Linked DNA regions of Daphnia pulex. The protein of the gene in region 1 interacts with the protein of each later gene in a pairwise test. Links are inferred from orthologs where the notes say so. Each region holds a gene or a part of one and is shown in the gene's direction. Other genes may lie near its edges. The genes, in order: cleavage stimulation factor subunit 3-like and cleavage stimulation factor subunit 2-like.

What was found.
Region 2: the proteins of cleavage stimulation factor subunit 3-like (region 1) and cleavage stimulation factor subunit 2-like interact in a two-hybrid assay, tested with the Drosophila melanogaster proteins (2 studies listed by BioGRID). The link is inferred for Daphnia pulex from reciprocal best matches to the Drosophila melanogaster genes su(f) and CstF64.

Annotation. Positions count from the first base shown.
Region 1 is NC_060019.1:11,046,814-11,056,739, forward strand, and holds cleavage stimulation factor subunit 3-like, read left to right. Parts: upstream 1-3,212; 5' UTR 3,213-3,363; coding exon 3,364-3,582; intron 3,583-3,643; coding exon 3,644-3,741; intron 3,742-3,805; coding exon 3,806-4,070; intron 4,071-4,135; coding exon 4,136-4,450; intron 4,451-4,505; coding exon 4,506-4,697; intron 4,698-4,756; coding exon 4,757-5,170; intron 5,171-5,247; coding exon 5,248-5,336; intron 5,337-5,400; coding exon 5,401-5,591; intron 5,592-5,654; coding exon 5,655-5,789; intron 5,790-5,855; coding exon 5,856-6,076; 3' UTR 6,077-6,135; downstream 6,136-9,926. Other genes in the region: uncharacterized protein LOC124191292, read left to right, coding at 326-1,268, 1,367-1,774, 1,962-2,551; retinol dehydrogenase 13-like, read left to right, coding at 7,107-7,177, 7,244-7,518, 7,573-7,664, 7,729-7,782, 7,841-8,009, 8,076-8,283, 8,347-8,443; GTP 3',8-cyclase, mitochondrial-like, read right to left, coding at 8,523-9,268, 9,331-9,378, 9,440-9,525, 9,594-9,739, 9,813-9,926. UniProt on the Drosophila melanogaster protein: Essential protein, may play a role in mRNA production or stability.
Region 2 is NC_060018.1:3,670,280-3,679,739, reverse strand, and holds cleavage stimulation factor subunit 2-like, read left to right. Parts: upstream 1-4,246; 5' UTR 4,247-4,571; coding exon 4,572-4,623; intron 4,624-4,688; coding exon 4,689-4,767; intron 4,768-4,824; coding exon 4,825-5,005; intron 5,006-5,069; coding exon 5,070-5,463; intron 5,464-5,524; coding exon 5,525-5,690; intron 5,691-5,760; coding exon 5,761-5,983; intron 5,984-6,039; coding exon 6,040-6,156; 3' UTR 6,157-6,234; downstream 6,235-9,460. Other genes in the region: WD and tetratricopeptide repeats protein 1-like, read right to left, coding at 6,582-6,815, 6,893-7,085, 7,154-7,576, 7,649-7,719, 7,783-8,081, 8,139-8,250, 8,325-8,435, 8,508-8,598 and 4 more.

The DNA of each region.
Region 1 (9,926 bases):
GTCTTCGTTCCCAAAAATTGGTAAACAGACATCGTTCCGAATGGGATTGGCTGATAAGCTGCAATAACGTACTTTTCTATACCCCAAAATCGCTGAAACCCTTTCGTCATTCAAATTGTTATGTTACCATGGACTGCTAATGAAAAATCTAGACCAAGGACTTCCAAACGAGTTTTGATCTAGTTTTTACAGCTAGCGGGTCTGAAGGAAGAGCGTGGTCGGCATAAAAGAAGCTCGCAGTGTTCAAAATTGTGGCAGCATCGTCGGATCTCTCACCATTTGAAGTGCTACTTCCTATCGTTTATAACATAGGCATTAAGACGACATGTCTTATACACTGACTCCAAAAGCGACTTTCTTCCTGTTGGTTATCTTAACATTGACCCTTATTGAGAGCGCTGTTTCGGTTTCACTCACTAAACGCCATATTCCAGGCCGAGTTCCAGGTCGCCCAAGAAAGGTAGTAGGCGGATTCTCACCGATCGACGTGGACGATCCCAACGTCAAGGAAATAGCCGAATTTGCTACAAGTGCCATATCGGAGAGCAGCAATTCTGGGCCTTTATCACTAATCAAAATAGTCAAAGCTGAATCCCAAGTAGTGGCCGGAAGGAATTATAAATTGATCCTAGAGCTCAGTAGCGTCGTTGACGGGGCTAGCGAGACCGAAGAAACCCTTTGCGAAGTGATTGTTTTCCATCAGCCATGGACGCAAACACGGAAACTGAGCAAGTCAAACTGTTTACCAATTAAAGTAATTCATTCTTGGACCGAAGCTCGTGAACTGGGAGCTTCTGTGAACTGTCAAAAACCACAAATCGAAGCTGTTCCTGACACTCCGGCGATGATGGTCGGTGGCTTCTCGCCGATCGACACCGACGACGCTTCAGTCAAAGAAATGGCTAATTTTGCTACAACTAGAATATCAGAAAGCAGTAATTCGGGGCCATTAGCATTGATCAAAGTTGTAAAAGCAGAATCGCAGGTTGTAGCCGGTAAGAATTACAAACTAACTCTGGAGCTGGGTAGTGCTGCCGATGGAGCCGTAGGAAGTAATCTTATTTGCAATGTACTCGTTTTTCATCAATCGTGGACTCACACACTTGAACTGAAGGAGTCCAATTGTTTGGCGCCGATCGAAGCCGAGACTGACATAGTAACTGAAATACTGCGAGCTATTGACGGACGTGAAGACTTGTCGAGAATGGCTGGTTATCTAAATGCGTCTCGTGAAACCTTGATAAAAGAGTTTCCTCTCACCAGTTCTGGTAATTACGAAAAATGTTCATAGTTGCATTTTAGAATTAAGTGAATTTAATATTAAATACTAACTATTTATCCTATTTGACTGAACGGGAAAAAATAGACGGAAGAAAATTGGGCTACACGTTATTTGCACCCACATCGATGGCTTTCATGATGCAAATGCCGCAAGACGCTGGCGATCCTCTCGTAATGGACGCCGATTTTCGCCGGTCGGTACTGATTCGCCATTTTGTTCGCGAGGATGTTTCGTCGGACGATATAGGGAAATTGGACAAGCTCGTCATGGCCGACTCTAACGAGGTTATTTTCACAAGCAAGAGCGCAAATGAATTATGCAACCTACCTCCAATAGACAGCGATGGATCTGAATGTGAAGCATACATCCCGTCATGGACGTTCCAGCCAAATTCCGGCAGATGTGAGAACTACGTATACGGTGGCTGTTTCAAGACGAAAAATCTTTTTGAAACAGAAGAAGAATGCCAAGCCGCCTGTGATCCAGCAGTCCGTAAGTTAGTTATTTAAATAAAAAATTATTAAACATTAAAAATGAAATAAAAACATATTTACTGGATTGATTTGAACTTCTCTAAAAAAAAATCGGCTGCAAATCTTCCTAAATTCAATTAAAATTTGTTTTAGGATGATTTTACAGAAAAACTGAATCACTGCTTATTTTGACTTCTTTTTTCTAGATCCTTTAACACAGCTGGTAAACGAGACAGAAATCCAACAGGTAGCCATTCAATTGGAAAAAGATTTGGGAACCATTTACGCCATTGATCGAGTTTTCATGAGTGGTGATGAAGTTGGCGAAATCCTTCGTATTAAACATCCTAGTCCCGGTCCATTTGGATTTTTCGGAATGCCAATTGAAATACAACCAGAAGTCAATGAGAACATTCCTGCTAGAATCACTGGCGGATTTTCTACTATCGACGTGGACGACGCCTACATAAAGGAGATCGCCGATTTCGCCACAACCGCCATATCTGCAAATAATAACTCAGGACCTGTCCGATTGATTAGGATTATCAAAGCAGAATCGCAGATTGTGGCCGGAAAAAATTTTAAATTGACTCTTAAACTTAACAGCGCTATCGACGAAGTTGATTCCCTCCTGTGCGATGTGGTCGTATTCGATCAATCGTGGTCACAAACCCGACAATTAAAAAAATCGAATTGTTTGTCGATAAATACTGTCGTTTTATGGAACCAAATTCTCAAACAGGAAAATGACTCGTTACCGAATTCACAAGTTACAGAGTTACATAGTTTGTTTTAGGTAACCGTTACCAAATAGCAAATACAAACTTGGTCAACGTACGCTGACGAGGTTGTGCCAAACTTTCTAGTTCCTTGGTTTAAATAATATACCCCCCCCCCCCAAAAAAAAACCCCACACAAACACATGTTCATTTCTCGATAAATGTTTGTTTAAATACAATGCTTTTCACACCTGCAATAATTGTTGAAATTGCTGCTAACGTTGGATAAAGTATTTCCCTATTACAACATTAATTTTGGCAGATAACAAAACTAACATTATAGTATCATCACCAGGGTTTAACCTGTAAGAATTGCTGGTCACGTTGCAATCATCTTGATTTGAGTAGTACAATTCAAACTGAAAATAAATGAAACTGATGTTTACCTACAGAGATGGGTGCCATTTTCGAGGAAGTATAACAAGGACAGACCTGTGCTCACGTAACTTCACATGAAATAGACCCTATCCTAGAATGAATGATTTCTGCCATCTGTTTGTTTCTCAAATCTCAGAGTTAATGGCAGAACCGCAGAGGCAGAATGCAAATGCACACACCCTGCTATATTATTTTTGCAAGTTCTCTCACTGACGACTGACTCATTTCTGAGCAGTTCTCTTCCTTCGAATTTTCGTACCAACCAGCCGTAACGCCATCTCTGGAGCTTGCCGGCAGGCTCTTTTGCAGGCTTGATGCTTGATGCAGACGATGTTATTTCAAAAGCAGTAAGTTGTCAAGTGTGACTTGTTTGCGATTTTGAATGGAATTGTAGAAACGTGGTTCATCAATTTATAAACAATTTTCAGCTTACTGGCATTAAAATAAACAAATGGCTGATAAATTAGCAAGAGCCGAGAAGGCTATAGAATCGAATCCATTTGATTTGGAAGCTTGGGGTCAAATTTTGCGTGAAGCCCAAATACGCAAGATTGATGATGCTCGAACTTACTTTGAACGCTTGGTGGCCCAGTTTCCGACATCAGGTCGTTATTGGAAAATGTACATTGAACAAGAAATGCGAGCAAGAAACTATGATAAAGTCGAAAAGGTAGCAATTAATTTAGCACATTCTAATGAAGCCATTCAATCTTGCTCCTCCCTATTTTTAGCTGTTTCAACGATGCTTGGTCAAGGTTTTAAACATTGAACTGTGGAAATTGTATGTTAACTATGTGAAAGAAACCAAAAGTGCTCTGCCCAACTACAGGTACAACAAACTTGAATATACAAACACTAAATATTGTTTTCTTTAATCATACCAATGTTCACAGAGAAAAAATTGCTCAATGCTACGATTTTACACTGGACAAAGTTGGGATGGATATTCAGTCATACAGTATTTGGAATGACTATATTCACTTCCTCCGTAATGTTGAAGCTGTTGGATCTTATGCTGAAAATCAAAGGATCACGGCTGTGAGGAAAGTGTATCAAAGGGGTGTAATCACTCCAATGCTTAACATTGAACAACTATGGAAGGATTACATTGCTTATGAATTGGCTATTAACCCCATGATTGCTGAAAAGATGCAACAGGTACAGTTTTTTTTTTTTTAAACCTTACCCTAACACTTTTTAAACACTTATTTTCAATTATTTAGGAGCGCAGCCGTGATTACATGAATGCTAGAAGAGTTGCCAAAGAACTAGAGGCCTGCACTCGCGGTCTTAACAAGGCTATGCCTTCGACTCCTCCATCCAATCATCCGGAACAAAACAAACAGGTGGAACTGTGGAAGAAGTATCTGGCTTGGGAGAAATCGAATCCCCTCCGTACGGAAGACCAGTCACTACTCACTAAGAGAACAATGTTCGCTTTCGAACAATGTCTCCTATGTCTGGGACATCATCCTCATGTTTGGTATGAAGCTGCCCTTTTTCTACAGATTAGCACAAAAACTCTTTCAGATAAAGGGGTAAGTTAAAGCACCAATTTCTGTCAATATTCTTAAATTTAAAGATTCTTTTTAGGATGTTACGGCTGCCAAGAACTTAGCTGAAGAAGTCTCAAATATTTATGAACGATCAATTAATGGGCCCATGTCACATAATAGTTTGCTTTATTTCGCTTATGCGGATTACGAAGAGGGACGAATTAAGTACGACAAAGCTCATCAGATCTATACAAAATATTTGGAGCAGCATGACATCGACCCAACTTTGGTAATTTTATCACTTTTTACATTGTACATACAAACCCCTTATGTTTAAAACATTCGCAGGGTTATATTCAATATATGCGATTTGCAAGGAGAGCAGAAGGTATTAAATCGGCTCGACTAGTGTTCAAGAGATCTCGCCAGGATCCCCGCTGTTCTAGCCATGTTTTCGTAGCTGCTGCCTTAATGGAATATTATTGCACCAAGGACAAAAATATCGCCTTTAAAATATTCGATCTAGGCCTCAAACGTTTCAAGCATCAACCTGATTATCTGCTTGCTTATGTGGAATTCTTGACCCAACTAAATGAAGATAACAACACTAGAGTTCTCTTTGAAAGGATTCTTTCATCAGGTTCCCTCACTTCTGAAAATTCGCTTGAAATTTGGAACCGCTTCCTCGAATTTGAGTCTTCTATTGGTGATCTTTCGAGTGTAATCAAAGTAGAAAAAAGACGCAACGCCGTTCTCGACAAGGTATTTTTTATTTTATTTTTTTTTTCATTTAGTGTTGTGTATTTTTGGATTCATTTCAATTGTGTTATTTATTTTAGCTTAAGGAACTGGAAGGTAAAGAAACAGCACTTCTTATTGATCGGTATAGATTTGGAACCCTCTTCCCTTGCTCAGCCGCGGATTTAAGGTGAGTTTCTTATGTTACTTGATAACTTTTTTCTAATATTTGTTTTTAATGATTCTCTTAAAAGGGCTTTGGGATACTACGAAGTAGCAGAGCTGAGTAGTAGTCAAAATGCTAAAAACCTCCTTGCTAGAGAGGAAGAAAGTAGAAAACAAAGCACAGAAGCGGCTGATGTTACCATGTACAAGCCCGATTTTTCTCAGATGGTTCCGTTCAAGCCGAAGATGCAATGGACCCCCGGAGAACACATTGCGCCTGGTAAAGTTTCTACAAAGTATTTCTAGATTACAACTTAACGAATTCTTTGATGCGTTTGGACAGGAGGAGGATTTCCGCTTCCACCTGCAGCCTCTCAACTGTGCGGAATGTTACCGCCTCCGCATTGTTTCCACGGTCCTTTTGTAGTAGTCGATCCAGTAATGGAGCTTATTAAACATTTGAATATAAGCGAAACAAGTAATACTTTGATTTCCCTTGGCTGTATTATATTTTTAAACATTAACATTTATTGGTGTATTTTAGGTTCTCTTCTTGCAAATACAGCGGAAAATTCTAAACTATTTGACATGGCTCGAAGTGTTCATTGGCTTCCGAAAGATACGGGTGTCGATCGTCCACAAAAAAAGAGAGGGGTGGGTGAAGAGTCTGAAGATGAGGAGCCGATCGCCATTAGTGGATCTCAGCCTGGTGGACCGCCACCAAATGATATTTACAGGAAACGACAACAGAAGCGAGTCAAGTGATGAAAGAATTTACTTGATCAATATTCAAAACACAAATACACACATAATTGTTTACACCATCCATAATCAAATCATTTCTGATAAAAGTTTTCTAGTAATTTTTGAACTCGCCACAACATGACTTCATTAGTACCAGAACAATTTTCTGGTCTGTAAGGGGGGCCTACTACTATTTCATTTAGCACTAGTAAACAACCATAATTATTTTCATTCACTGGAATACGGCTTTCATGAAACCATTTTTTCAGGGCATCTTTCAGCGGCTTCCAATCTTCAGTATGTTGGGAGCTAGCTCCAGGTCCTTGCATTCCATTGTTCTCTTGCGTAAGGGTTCTGGTATTGGTTGATGTTAATTTTACAATCTTGAGATACTTAATTGAATTTCCAATAACTAATTTTATGCTTCTTTCTTCTTGGTTACAACGATCGACCATCATAAAAAGACTAAAAATGAAAGATTCAAAAGAAATGTTAAACTATGGCTTCATATGCATGCATTGTTGTCTTAAACTTTGTGGTTTCTACTAACCTTCCACTTATTGGATCCATTGAGTAGATTTGTCCAACAAACTTGACATGATTAATTGTTAAAACTTCGACTCTGCTACCGACTAAATTTATATAATTAGCCGGACATTTTTCTAAGGGATATTGTAACACACATCCTTCTGCAAGTTCCATTTTCAAAACTGTTATGATGCGAACGATGACCTAGTGCTCCACCATACGGATAAAAATTGCAACTAAAACTGCCTTATTGCAACTTTTGCTATCCTTAAATTTCTTAAAATACATTCATTAAAAAATGATTTCTCAACCAGCTTCAGTTTTATATTCTAAATTTGGACTGGTTCAGACGAAATATAATTTAATTCGTGAACAATCGTGAATCTGTTTGAAATCATGGTCATGGTTGGGGTTGCCCATGGGCAACCATCGCGAGCAGCCGAAATAAATGTAAACAGTTGCTTCGAATTTTTACCTTCTCAATTTTCTATCGAAACCTAAAAGGTTTTAGAAAACATAAACCATGAAGATTCCTGCACCTTATTTATGGTTCTCTGCTGTTGGAGCATTTGGTGGCGGGATCATACTGGTCAAGTAAAAAAAATTGTCTAAAGTTCAGCAAATCTTGCTGCTAGACCTAAAATATTCATGTTGTTTTAGAGAATATTTCAGTGGAACTAGATATGAAGGTAAAGAAAAATTAGACGGAAAAACAGTGATTATTACTGGGGCTACTGATGGAATTGGAAAGGAAACAGCTAAAGATCTAGCTAAAAGAGGAGCAAAAGTATATATGGCCTCTCGTGATATGAAGAAGTGTGAAGAAATTAGAAAAGAATTTGTCCTTGAAAGTGGGAACAAATTCATCTATTGCCGAAAATGTGACCTAGCATCACAGGAATCAATCAGACAGTTTGCTTCAAGATTTAATTCTGGTATTTTTCTTATATGATTCCCTTTTGTGGCAAATGTACTTAACTATTTTCTAGAGGAATCAAAGTTGCATATCCTTATTAACAATGCCGGGGTAATGCGTTGTCCTCGTAGTTTAACTCTCGAAGGTATCGAGATGCAGATAGGGGTAATATACGATACAATAAAATTGAGTTTCTCCAATATCTCAATACAATAATAAATTTTTACAGGTAAACCATTTTGGTCATTTTCTTCTTACCCATCTGTTGCTTGATAAACTTAAAGTAAGAATTAATATTTAAAAATGATGTCATACCTATTTTAAAAGCGCTGTATTAATAGCAATCCGCACCCAGTCGAATCATTAACGTTTCAAGCGTGGCCCATTTAAGAGGAAAAATAGATTTTGATGACCTCAACTCGGAAAAAAAGTACGATCCTGCAGCAGCTTACGAACAGAGTAAGTTAGCCAATGTTCTGTTCACGCGCGAACTAGCAAAACGCCTGGAAGGTAAAATAATAAATTAATTTCAAAACTATATTTTAAAAAATAATCTGATCAATTTAAAATTACCAGGAACCGGTGTGACCGTAAACGCCTTACACCCAGGAATTGTGAATACAAATATTGCTCGTCACATGGGTTTTGTCAACAGTTGGTTTGCAAGCATCATTCTTAAACCACTTTCCTGGCCTTTTATTCGAACGCCCCCGAGAGGAGCGCAGACAACTCTATACGCAGCACTTGATCCCTCACTTGAAAAAGTAACTGGGAAATATTTCAGGTGACTTCAAATAATTGTGTGTTAACATCACAGCCGTTGTCTAATTTGGAACTGGAATATTAGTAATTGTGCAGAAGCTGAGGTTTCACCCCAAGCTCTGGATGATGACGTTGCTCGAAAACTCTTCCTTACTAGTTTACGATGGACACGTCTAAATTAGAAGAAAATAAAAATTGCAAGTTAACTGTCTTTAAATTTGCATTTTCCAATTCGTTTAAACAAAATAGATAATTTTAAACTTAACAACGGAATGGTACATTGTCATTTTTTGTACGATTAAAGTCACCACGAGTTCCTCCCGATTTACTAACCAATTGAAGATTACGAATTTCAGCTTCTCTAGTCACCGCTTTAACCATATCAATTATTGTTAAGCAAGCGACTGATGCAGCTGTTAGAGCTTCCATTTCAACACCCGTTGGACCTCGTGTCACTGCTTCACTTTCTACATTAACGCAGTGATTGATTGAGTCAAGGGATAAGTGAACGCGAAGTTGATGAAGAGCGATAGGGTGACACAGCGGAATCAACTGCGAAGTCAACTTTCCGCCGCTGATGCCTGCTATTTCGGCAACTTTAAGAACATCACCTTTTTTTATTTGATTTTCAGCTACTAGATGGAAAGCTTCAGGTCCAATCCAAACAGTAGCTTGAGCTCTAGCTCGTCGAATGGTCCATGCCTTGTCACTTACGTCTACCATTCGAGCCTGCCCTTGATGATCAACATGAGTCAACTGAACCTGTTCACTGTTGACATTTGAGGTCGCAGATTTTGATGGTTCTTGAACTGGTTCATTTTCATGTGGAGCTGGGGCATGAAACATAGAAGATACTTGAAGGAGTGAAGCATTAGTTTCTCTGAACTTCGTCCACGGATCATCTAGGTAATTGTCATGGTTGTTCTGGTTGTCTTCTTTAGTGGTGCAGTAAAAACGGACGGAACTCGTAGCTATGGAACCCCCTGTCAATAGACCATTGGGATCACCTAAATGTAAACTTGTGTCCATAAAGAGTGCCAACTACCTAGGAAAGATGATTCTCACCCACCGATCAAAATCATGGGACGATTTTTCATCGAAGGCAAATTTGACATTCCTAAATGAAAAATTCGGTACAGGGATTTGTCAAATTATACGTTAAAACACATGAAAAATACCGGCGTGCTGCTTTTTCTTCCGTCCAACGGCTTGGCCGACAACGGCAATCAATTCTTCGTTTGAAGCCCCATCTCTCAGTAAGTCTCTTTAAGAGGTAAGGCTGGTAAGGTACATAACTAATGTCGCACAGAACACATTTTACTAGCGATGTACCTCAACGAGGTTTCGGCGTTCCCGAAGAGACACACTTTCAGATTTCCATCAGCAGTTAGTCTCAAGCGATTACACGAGCCACAAAAGTGTTCTGACATGGACGTGATGAAGCCGATTTTCCCGCGATATCCCGGCACCTGATAGGCCTACAGCGGATAAAATAAATTTTTTCATAATATAATTATCGAACTGTAGGACCTAGAGAATAGTATAACTTACTTTGGATGTGTCATTAGCTGCATCTTCCAAACGCATCAAGTCGCTGTATTTTCGTCTAATAATTTCCAACATTTCGTGATAAGGAACCATTTTTTTACCATTCCATTTGTTTCC
Region 2 (9,460 bases), on another chromosome or scaffold:
TCATATGACTAGAGAACAATTTGCTTTGCTACCGTGGAAATTTGAATACCTTGCCAATGGTAAATCTTCCTTTGTAAAATTTGAGACATCAAAGTTGTTCTGTTTAGTCTTACTCCTGCTATTCTTTTATCGTAATGAGTTCCTGTGTGATTCTGTACACACTTGTGTTTCCCGATGGTAATTTTTTTATTTTCTTCAATAGGTCTTACAACCACGCTTCATGTTGCAGCCAGATGGTGAAAAGTGTGATGAAGACAACTTCAACCGTTGTTTGCAGGATGTGGTGCCAGTGTTATCCAGAAGTAGCTGTGCTGGAGTTATCCTGAAGTAGCTGTGCCAGAATTTTTCGAAATTGCTGACTTGAAAATTTTAACTGTTTTTTGCTTTGCAAGTGGTATCTTGTGTTGCTGACTTTAAAAATTTTTATCCGTTTTTATTTGTGGTTTTGCTCTGCCAGTGAGTTGCTTACTTGAATTGGTTTCGTCTGTCGTCTTTTGCGTTTTTACTTGTGCAGTATGATTGTGGCAATCTGACCCAATGTCAGATTTGACATAGTCGACAACTGCTAGATTAAATTCCGGCTTTCTGCACCAACAAAATAATAACGGCACATGTTATTATCGCGGTTGGGAAAGTCACAGGCCCCCCCCTCCCTGGGGGCCATAAAATATATGTGTTTGCGTTAAAATGAATAAAAATATTAGATGAATATAAAAATTGTTTTAATTTATTAAAAAAAAAGGTATGGACAATGTACATCGCCAAATTTTTGCGAAAAAGACTTAGTAAAATAATAAATGGTGGTTGTTTTTAGGAAAATTTAAAAAAATAATAAAAATTTGGACAGGAAATTATGTAAAAGTAATATTTTTAAGCGCATGGGGCTTAATTGGTTAGGACAAGCCGCGACTTTGTTATAAGGCGATTTGTAATAGTAAATAGTAATATACAGCAGAAAACAATTCTGATTACAACAATTTATTTTTTTAACGAGGTAATAATATTGATTAAGAGCGAAATGTTTAAGAATCGTTATGAAGGCGGTAGAGTTCATCGGAATAAAAGAATCTTGGTGGTTTAACTTCTCTTTCTCGTTGCAATTCCCCATTCTATCATAACACTCCTGGTTTTCAAACTAACCAACAGGACATTTCGTTTACTTAGGGAAAAGGGACAATAGATTTTCATTTTTAATTATCTACTGATTTATCAGTCTTGAATTTCAGCAACTCCTCAACTTCAACAATATATCAAGTCTGAAACGGCGGCACACGATCGAACTGAAACGAAAGAAAAGAGATTAAGTTCCGAGTCGATAATAAAATAAAATTTTTCATCCATCATTACCTTAACGTGGGTAAATGTAGCAAGAGACGACACCAAAATGTAAGACGACCATCAGGCAACACCAACTATTTCACACAAAAGTTCATGGACACCAACATGGTAAATTGAAGTCAGTTGAACTGCAGGTCTGCAGAAGATCCATTTCACTTTCAGTGCAACTTTCAATCAGAAAATGACTGCCACACCACTGTACGCCAGACATCACCACCAACAGCTTCAACGCCAAACTGACCCGAGGAATCTACAATGCAAAGGAATATCAGTTAACCAAGAACATTTTCAAACTAGTATAAAAAGGGAAATTCAGTTCTGTTAGAGTAAAGCTACTGTTTAACAAAATTACAATTTTACACAAGCTGATGAAAAACTTTTCACAAAGGCCCTTATTTGAAGCAGTTATTGTCAAATGTTATCTAAATCAAAATTTTATACTCAACTCAAGAAATTTCTAAGCAAAGAACAAATACACAGGCTACAGTTTGAGTAAAATGCAAACCCACTTTAGTTGTCTTTCAAGTAAATTGTTTCCATTTCAGATTTCCTGTTTTCTTCCCATTTTCATCTCGCAACATGATACATCAAAGGCATCTTGTAGATTTGGCACTAGACATTGAGAAAAATCTCCATCAACCTGCCAACAAATAAGTAAGATTAGTAAAATAAACTTTTCTAATTATTATTAACTAGAATGCATGTTTTCGCAAGCTCGATTCAAGTGCATCTCTCAACAGAAAAAATTCGCAAAACAAATCACAGAAGATATTTGCAACTAACGTGTAACTTTTGATTACAAAAGTGTGGTAATTTGTAATTAAAAAAACTCAATTTCTATCAGAAACTCAATCACGGTATTTTTATGTGGTAACAAAGTCTTAGGATTATTAAGTTACTCGACATTATTACTTGCACTGTTCTAAAGTACTTTGACGTGTGACAAAACGTGCAGCATGCAGCAAGAGACGACATTTTGAAATAGTGTACAGCAGGGCATGGCCACATGGAATTTGCAAGTATAAGTTTAAGGCCATGTTATCCATAAAAAACATTCACATTAAGGATAAAAGCAGGAATTACCTTTTTTTTATGAAGAACAATGTCAGGAAAGAAAGTACCCAGCAATGATGTCTAGAGTAACCTTCTCGGCCAGCGTCTCGGAAGAAAAAGAATGATTATAGGTTTTTCGTCTCAAAACTATGGAGACCCTCCTTCCAATTCCAATACATGAATACATCCCTCGAACACACTAGGGCTGAATAGTTTAATCCCTAAACACACTGAAATATTTAGCCACCTAGTGACAGCACTTAGCATCCACGGACGAAGACGATAGTCAGTAATAGACCTTTTTCACAATGCGGAAAGTCGGGATTTTCCAATCTGGCAACGCCGTAATCGGCCATTTTAGATTTCATTAATTTTTCCCTGTGTAAATTCCCATAAGGAATCGGGGTACCTTTAGTTTAAATTAATTTTTTAATTATTGGTGTCTTACAGCCAATTTATTTTTCATCGATCGTGTTCCCCGATTAATGGGTAACATTTTCATGTATTTTTACATTTTAACATTAACTACTTATTATATTATCAGCACTTGAACTTGTTTGTTTTGATTCAGTTCCTGATGAGGGCATCAACAACAAAGGAAACTGGGTTTACTGATTCGAGTTTTTCAATTGATTTACGCATTAATTTTTGTCTATTGTTAAGTTTAATCGCAAAGAGGGACTGAAAAATTCCTTTAAAAGTATTTGGGGTAAATTAGTTTAAAATGTACTAATTCAACTTGATTTCTTCAACATTTTGTTCCATACTCTGACGTTTTCACCATATTACCTGATTCATTAGCGTTATTTCGTTAGTATTTTAAGAAAACTCACAGTTCTTTTTTCGAGTGAAACATTGTATTAAACATGAAATAAAGTTTTAAATAAAAATACTGAAGACGTGACGTGACACTGCTTCAACTAGTAATTATTTCTCATTTTTCAATATTTTTTATTCGAAGAACCAATGACTGTTTTGCGGATTCTGATTGTTAGTTGATTCACCAATGTGTTGATGTGTTCATCAAACGTGTTCTGCATTGTACCCTCAGGTACAGTTGTATCTTTCATGAAATCAGTAACTGTGTCTTGTGGAATGTGTGTCTATGGAAGAAAATGATGAGATATGTTAAGTAATGTTATAAATGACATAATAAATATAAATAAAATACAATCCTCTTACATCGTTGAACATGTCCCAGCAATCTGCCTTCTTAGAGAGCGACTAATTCTTTCAACAGTAGCAATCCCAATGGAATTTTGCTCATTATTAGATGTTGGTGCTGCAGTTAAAAACATGTTACTTAGTTACATATTTCAGAGACATATTTCAAACATGACTCAATCATAGAAATTACTTTAAAAAATTTACTATGTTACCAGAAGTAAAATCTTGACTGCATACTCTGCTGTATATTTTTATAAACCTTTTTCTCTCGAATTTGTTCTTTTCAGCAGCCATATACCTGTCTCCTACTTTTTGAAACCCCATATTCTAGATGTCCATTAACATTCACTTTTGAGAAGCAAAAGTTACAGCACCGTAGGCAAGCACATAACATGTCTGTTTTGACATTCCAGAATCAAAACAACCTAATAAAGTTCGAATTACATAATTAATATAAACCGCAAGTAAAATGTACCATATATGAAAATGTTACCCATCAATCGGGGAACACGATCGATGAAAAATAAATTGGCTGTAAGACACCAATAATTAAAAAATTAATTTAAACTAAAGGTACCCCGATTCCTTATGGGAATTTACACAGGGAAAAATTAATGAAATCTAAAATGGCCGATTACGGCGTTGCCAGATTGGAAAATCCCGACTTTCCGCATTGTGAAAAAGGTCTATAAGAATGTCCGCTCTAGCTCGTTGACACACTTAATTGAAATTGAAATAAACCAACAATAAAAGGCAAATAACTTTGTTACTCACGTAATATAATATTCTCCCCTTCAAATTTGTATAAAGTCTTCACCAAAAAGCCACCACCTCAGCATCACAACAGACGAAATCCCAAGGTGATGATGCTTGAGTTGTCTGCTGTTTGACAGAAGTTTGCTTCCGATATTCGATTCGGAAACGCAGCGTCTCATCCAGTTCTGCCTTAATTACGTTAAATACGTTAACATTGATCATCATATTTTGAATTAAACCAACTTAACTATTTATTAATGGCTACCGATCCCCAAGTTGTAATTGACAAATCTTTGCGATCCGTCTTTGGTAACAGCCAATCTTAGATCACTGTGTCTGCTGTGTGATGCATTTTCTATTTTTTTTATTTTTAGTGGGAAACATTCCTTATGATGTCACGGAAGAGAAACTCAAAGATATTTTCAGTGAAGCTGGGCCAGTAGTTTCATTCAAGTAATTTTACATCTGATAAATGTAATTTGTATCCTTCCTAAACTTCTTAATATAAAGGATTGTTTATGATCGTGAAACTGGAAAGCCCAAAGGATATGGATTCTGTGAGTATCGTGATCAGGAGACAGCTCTTTGTGCAATGAGAAACCTTAATGGCTATGAAATAGCTGGAAGGACATTGAGAGTTGATAATGCTTGCACAGAAAAATCGCGGCTTGAAATGCAAAGTCTAATGCAGGTTTGAAATTAAGTTGTACATTATTCTTTAAAAATAATTTAAAGATTAGCATACTCAAACTTAGGAAAAAACAACAGAGAGCCCCTATGGTGATGCTGTTGACCCAACTCAAGCACCTGAAATGATTTCAAAGGCTGTGTCATCTCTTCCACCTGAGCAGATGTTTGAGCTGATGCAACAGATGAAACAGTGCATGCAAAATAACCCCAATGAAGCCCGCCAGATGCTTTTGCAGAACCCGCAACTTGCCTATGCCCTACTCCAAGCCTTGGTCGTCATACGCGTAGTTGACCCCAGCACTGCACTTAGCATGCTGCAGAAGGGTCCGGGCCAGACCGACGTGGGAATGGGAGGACAGCACTTTGCCAAAACATCCAACTTTCCAATGCCAAGTAACGAACCTTGGGTTTCAACCTCGGGTCCCAAACAGGGACTCCTTGGAGATCGCCCTTTTACTGGTATTTTGTAACCAGTGACCTAGCGTCACTGCAAGAGGCATGCACTGACATTAGTTTTTAGGTCAAGATTTGGATTTACGTCATGCTGATCCTCGAATGGTACGAGGCGACCACGATTTGCGAGTACCACCGGCCGCTCCCATGGCTGTAGGAGGAATAGGACTGCCACCAACGATGCAGCAACAGCCGCCCGCAAGGCCTGCACAGACTATGCCTGAGATGGATTCGTAAGTTTACGAGCTGCAATTTTAGTGAGGAACTTCATACTGATTTAACAGCATTTCATTTTTACATTAGGAGGCGTGACCCGCGTTCCAGTGGTCCAACCGGTCCACGCGACCCACGAGCAGGGATGAGCAGGCCGGGTCCCGGTGTACCTCCTATTCCAGCATCTCAGCCAAACGTTCCTCCACCTGTTTTACCTAGCGGGGGAGGTGGACTTAATGTGCCAGTTGCTGCTGCTCCTACAGCAGGAGCTATTGGACGTGCACTGGGGCCAGGAACTTCAGATCAAGAAAAAGTATGTTCAAGACAAAAAAGCTCGTTTGCGATAATAATTTTGATGGTTTCTTTTAGGCTGCTCTGATTATGCAAGTCCTTCAACTGTCTGATGAGCAAATCGCTCTACTTCCACCAGAGCAGCGCCAGAGCATTATGGTTCTTAAGGAGCAAATTGCTAGAAGCAATCGTTAACAGTTCCAATATGATTTGTGTTGACACAGAATCGAAGGATTTAATAAATTGCAACAAATTTTCGGTTGCAAAATGGAATCGTCTCTTTGTCATCAAATGTGTGTAGTACAGATGCAATTGTGAAGCCAAAAAAAAAGAGAAAACAAATAACTAAAAAGGAAGAAAGTAGGAAGACTAGAAAACTAACCTGTTGTACAATTGGCATTTAACTGCTGCTTCGTTATGGTGACTGATGCTCCAATAATTGTGAGAATCAAGCTATCTCAATGACTATTCGATAAGTAACAAACAGGTTAGGTATAATCATCAAGGCGAGATAAAGTTTAACATGGATTTCTTAGAATTCATCGAATTGGGGAGCCAGCGCAAAAAAAAACTTAACAATCGAATGATAAAGAAAAAATATATAGATATATTCCCTTATTTTAACTCTGTCGACATTGGATGGCTGCGCGAGGATCTTCGTCCTGATCATCGTCTGGAGATGAGGCTGGACGACGAGGGCGAACTGTAATATCCGGCATGGCATCCTCAGCCGTCGCACCCATGTTCATAAGAAACATTTCGAAAGGGTCGGCATTCATGCGTCGTTGATTGGCCATCGCTGCTGATTCCGCGTCAAGTACCACACTCCCCAAACGATCTGAGACGACTCTTTCCTTACGGTTTAGAATGAAATTATATTAAATACTGTTGACTAATAAATAATTCAAAAATAAAATTTTTTAATCTGAACCTGTGGTAGCGGAGACCATATGCGAACCACCGAATCGATCCCCGATGAGGCCAACATACATGTGAAAGGATGAGGCTGAAGACAATTAACGATCGATTCATCACCACGCAGCACTCGTTCAACGATTCCAGTGTTACGATCCCAAATAAAAAAACATCCGTCGTCCGATCCAGCTAGAATATACTGCCCGTCGCTAATAGACATCAAACATTTGGTTAAATATTATTTTTCCAATTTTGTAGAGAACTAAACAAAACTCACTTTCCAAAAAAATTGGCTTCTTTAATGTCAGTGGTAGTATTGCAATGACCGCAATAACGGCTGGAGTAGTCCCAGTATTGTGCCCTCCAATTTTTTTCGTTTTCTGTTAAACTCGGAGAATTGACCCCATCTTCCAATAAGTCAGATTCATCATCCAACTCTCCTCTCCGAGCAGTTTCCTTCTCGGAACGTTGTTCTTCAAGCTCAAGCTTTTTCTGGACTTCGACATGAAGAGTATTGAATGTGGAACTATTGGCTTGTTGAGGAAATCTTTCCCTGAGCAATTTGAATGCCTGGTCGGCCAAAACCACTTGGCCAAGATCTAATAGACAGCGTGCTAACCGGTGAAAGGGTTTGATTTGGTTAGGGTCGATCTTCAATGCACTAATGCAATCCTTGAGAGCAGCATACGTGTCTCCGTCCCTAATTATTCAGAACAATCGATCAAAACACATTCACGGCGCCACAAAACTAAAAAAAAAATTCTTTCGTTACCAATTACGTTTCATGCAAGCTGTTGCGCGATTACTGTACAAGACTGGCGAATTTGGTGCTTTGATGAGAGCCTGTAAAATCAGAAGAAAAAACATTAACATTAATTGGCCACAATTTAATGATGCTACGCATACTTTGCTGTACAATCCAATGGCTGTAGTGTACTGCCGTTGCTGGAAGGCCGCGTTGGCCTGAATTTTTATTTGTTCTATGTCTGGGGGTAACGTGAAACCTTTAATTCCATTTAAAGGTTCTTTACCCAAAAGAGGCACTTGAGTAATTGGGGGATTTGGTGTTAGGCAATCATACAAATAAATCTGTTCGCCTCCTAAATTCGCCAAAAGATAGCGACCTGACGGATCGAATGTAACATACGTCGACGCTAACGAGCGAAAACGGCGACGGTAATCATCCAACTTCTGAGGCAGATGACCTTAAATATAGATATGCTTTTTTAATGACAAACTTTAAGGTAACTTTTTTTTCATACCCGGAGCGAAATATTGAGCACATCCAAGCGGAATAGCTGAACGACTTTCTTCACTTTGTGAATTAGTTGCCAATGAGTATTGCCTACCTCGGTTGGGCCTTTCTGCGGAAAACTATAATCAATTTGCAGCGCAGAAACATAATGTTACATTAAGAAAGCTAAATCGTTGAAAATGTTTCTATTTACCGGAACAGATGTGATTTTAATCATTCGTCTGTCATACAGGCGGATGAAAGGATCATTAGCTCCAACGACAAGTTGTTCGGTCCGAATGGGATTAATTGCAATCGATTTTACCTGAAGAATATTTTAAATAAAATATTAATAGACCAGGGAATAAATAATGGTTAACCCATGCGCGTAGCCTACTTCAGCCTGTTTTCCCATATGGCTTAATAAATTAATAAGAATGTTGGACGGACCATTCGTACATGTGTGAGGTGTCCTCAAGTCAAATTGCCTAAAGAAAAATCGCGTTGTATTAATATTTTATCATGGAAAGTGTTAACGAACAATTGTTCTCACATCACTGTCCCATCTTCAGCCCCACTCCAAAGTAGGTAAGGGATATCAGGAGCTGTCGCCAAACGCTTGACACGACCAACATGACAATTACACTGCAGACTAGTCTGAGGAGTGGAATTCATAGATTGTGCATGGTCCACCCAATGGATTTTGACTCGTCCATCTCCAGCTGCACTAGCTACTAGGCCATCCATTGATTGTGGCATGAACTATTCATGTTAGAAAAAAGGGTTACATTTTCTGGAAAAAATTATTCAGCAAATAAATTTTTCTCAACATACTTTCACAGAAAAAATATTGCCTTGATGACCTGTAGATACAATAAGTATCAAAATTTAACAAACATACATTTATCTTATATATACCACAAAATACCTGTATCTATATTAGCAATTTTTTTCTTTAAAAATGGATTCCAGAGTATGATGTGAAGGTCATCTGAACCAGATGCTAAAATTGAACCATCACTGTTCCATTCCAGACAGTTAACACAGCCTCCATGACCAGTAAGTTCGTAATCTAGACCAAGTCGGTCAATCAGACTTTTCATGGATGACAACTTAGATTGGTGTACCAGCCGTAATGAGTCCTGCATAACACAAGATTATTTACAGTGGTTCTTGAAATAAAATGGTAATTTTGAATCTACAGCATTTCACAGACTTGCATCACAATAGTTTACAAATATTTAGGTACTGGCAATCTTACGTTTATCTCTTTGGATCTCAAATAACGCATCACCAAAGGATCACTCAACCACTTGTGTTCCTCCATTTTCAAACTTCAATGTGAGTAAA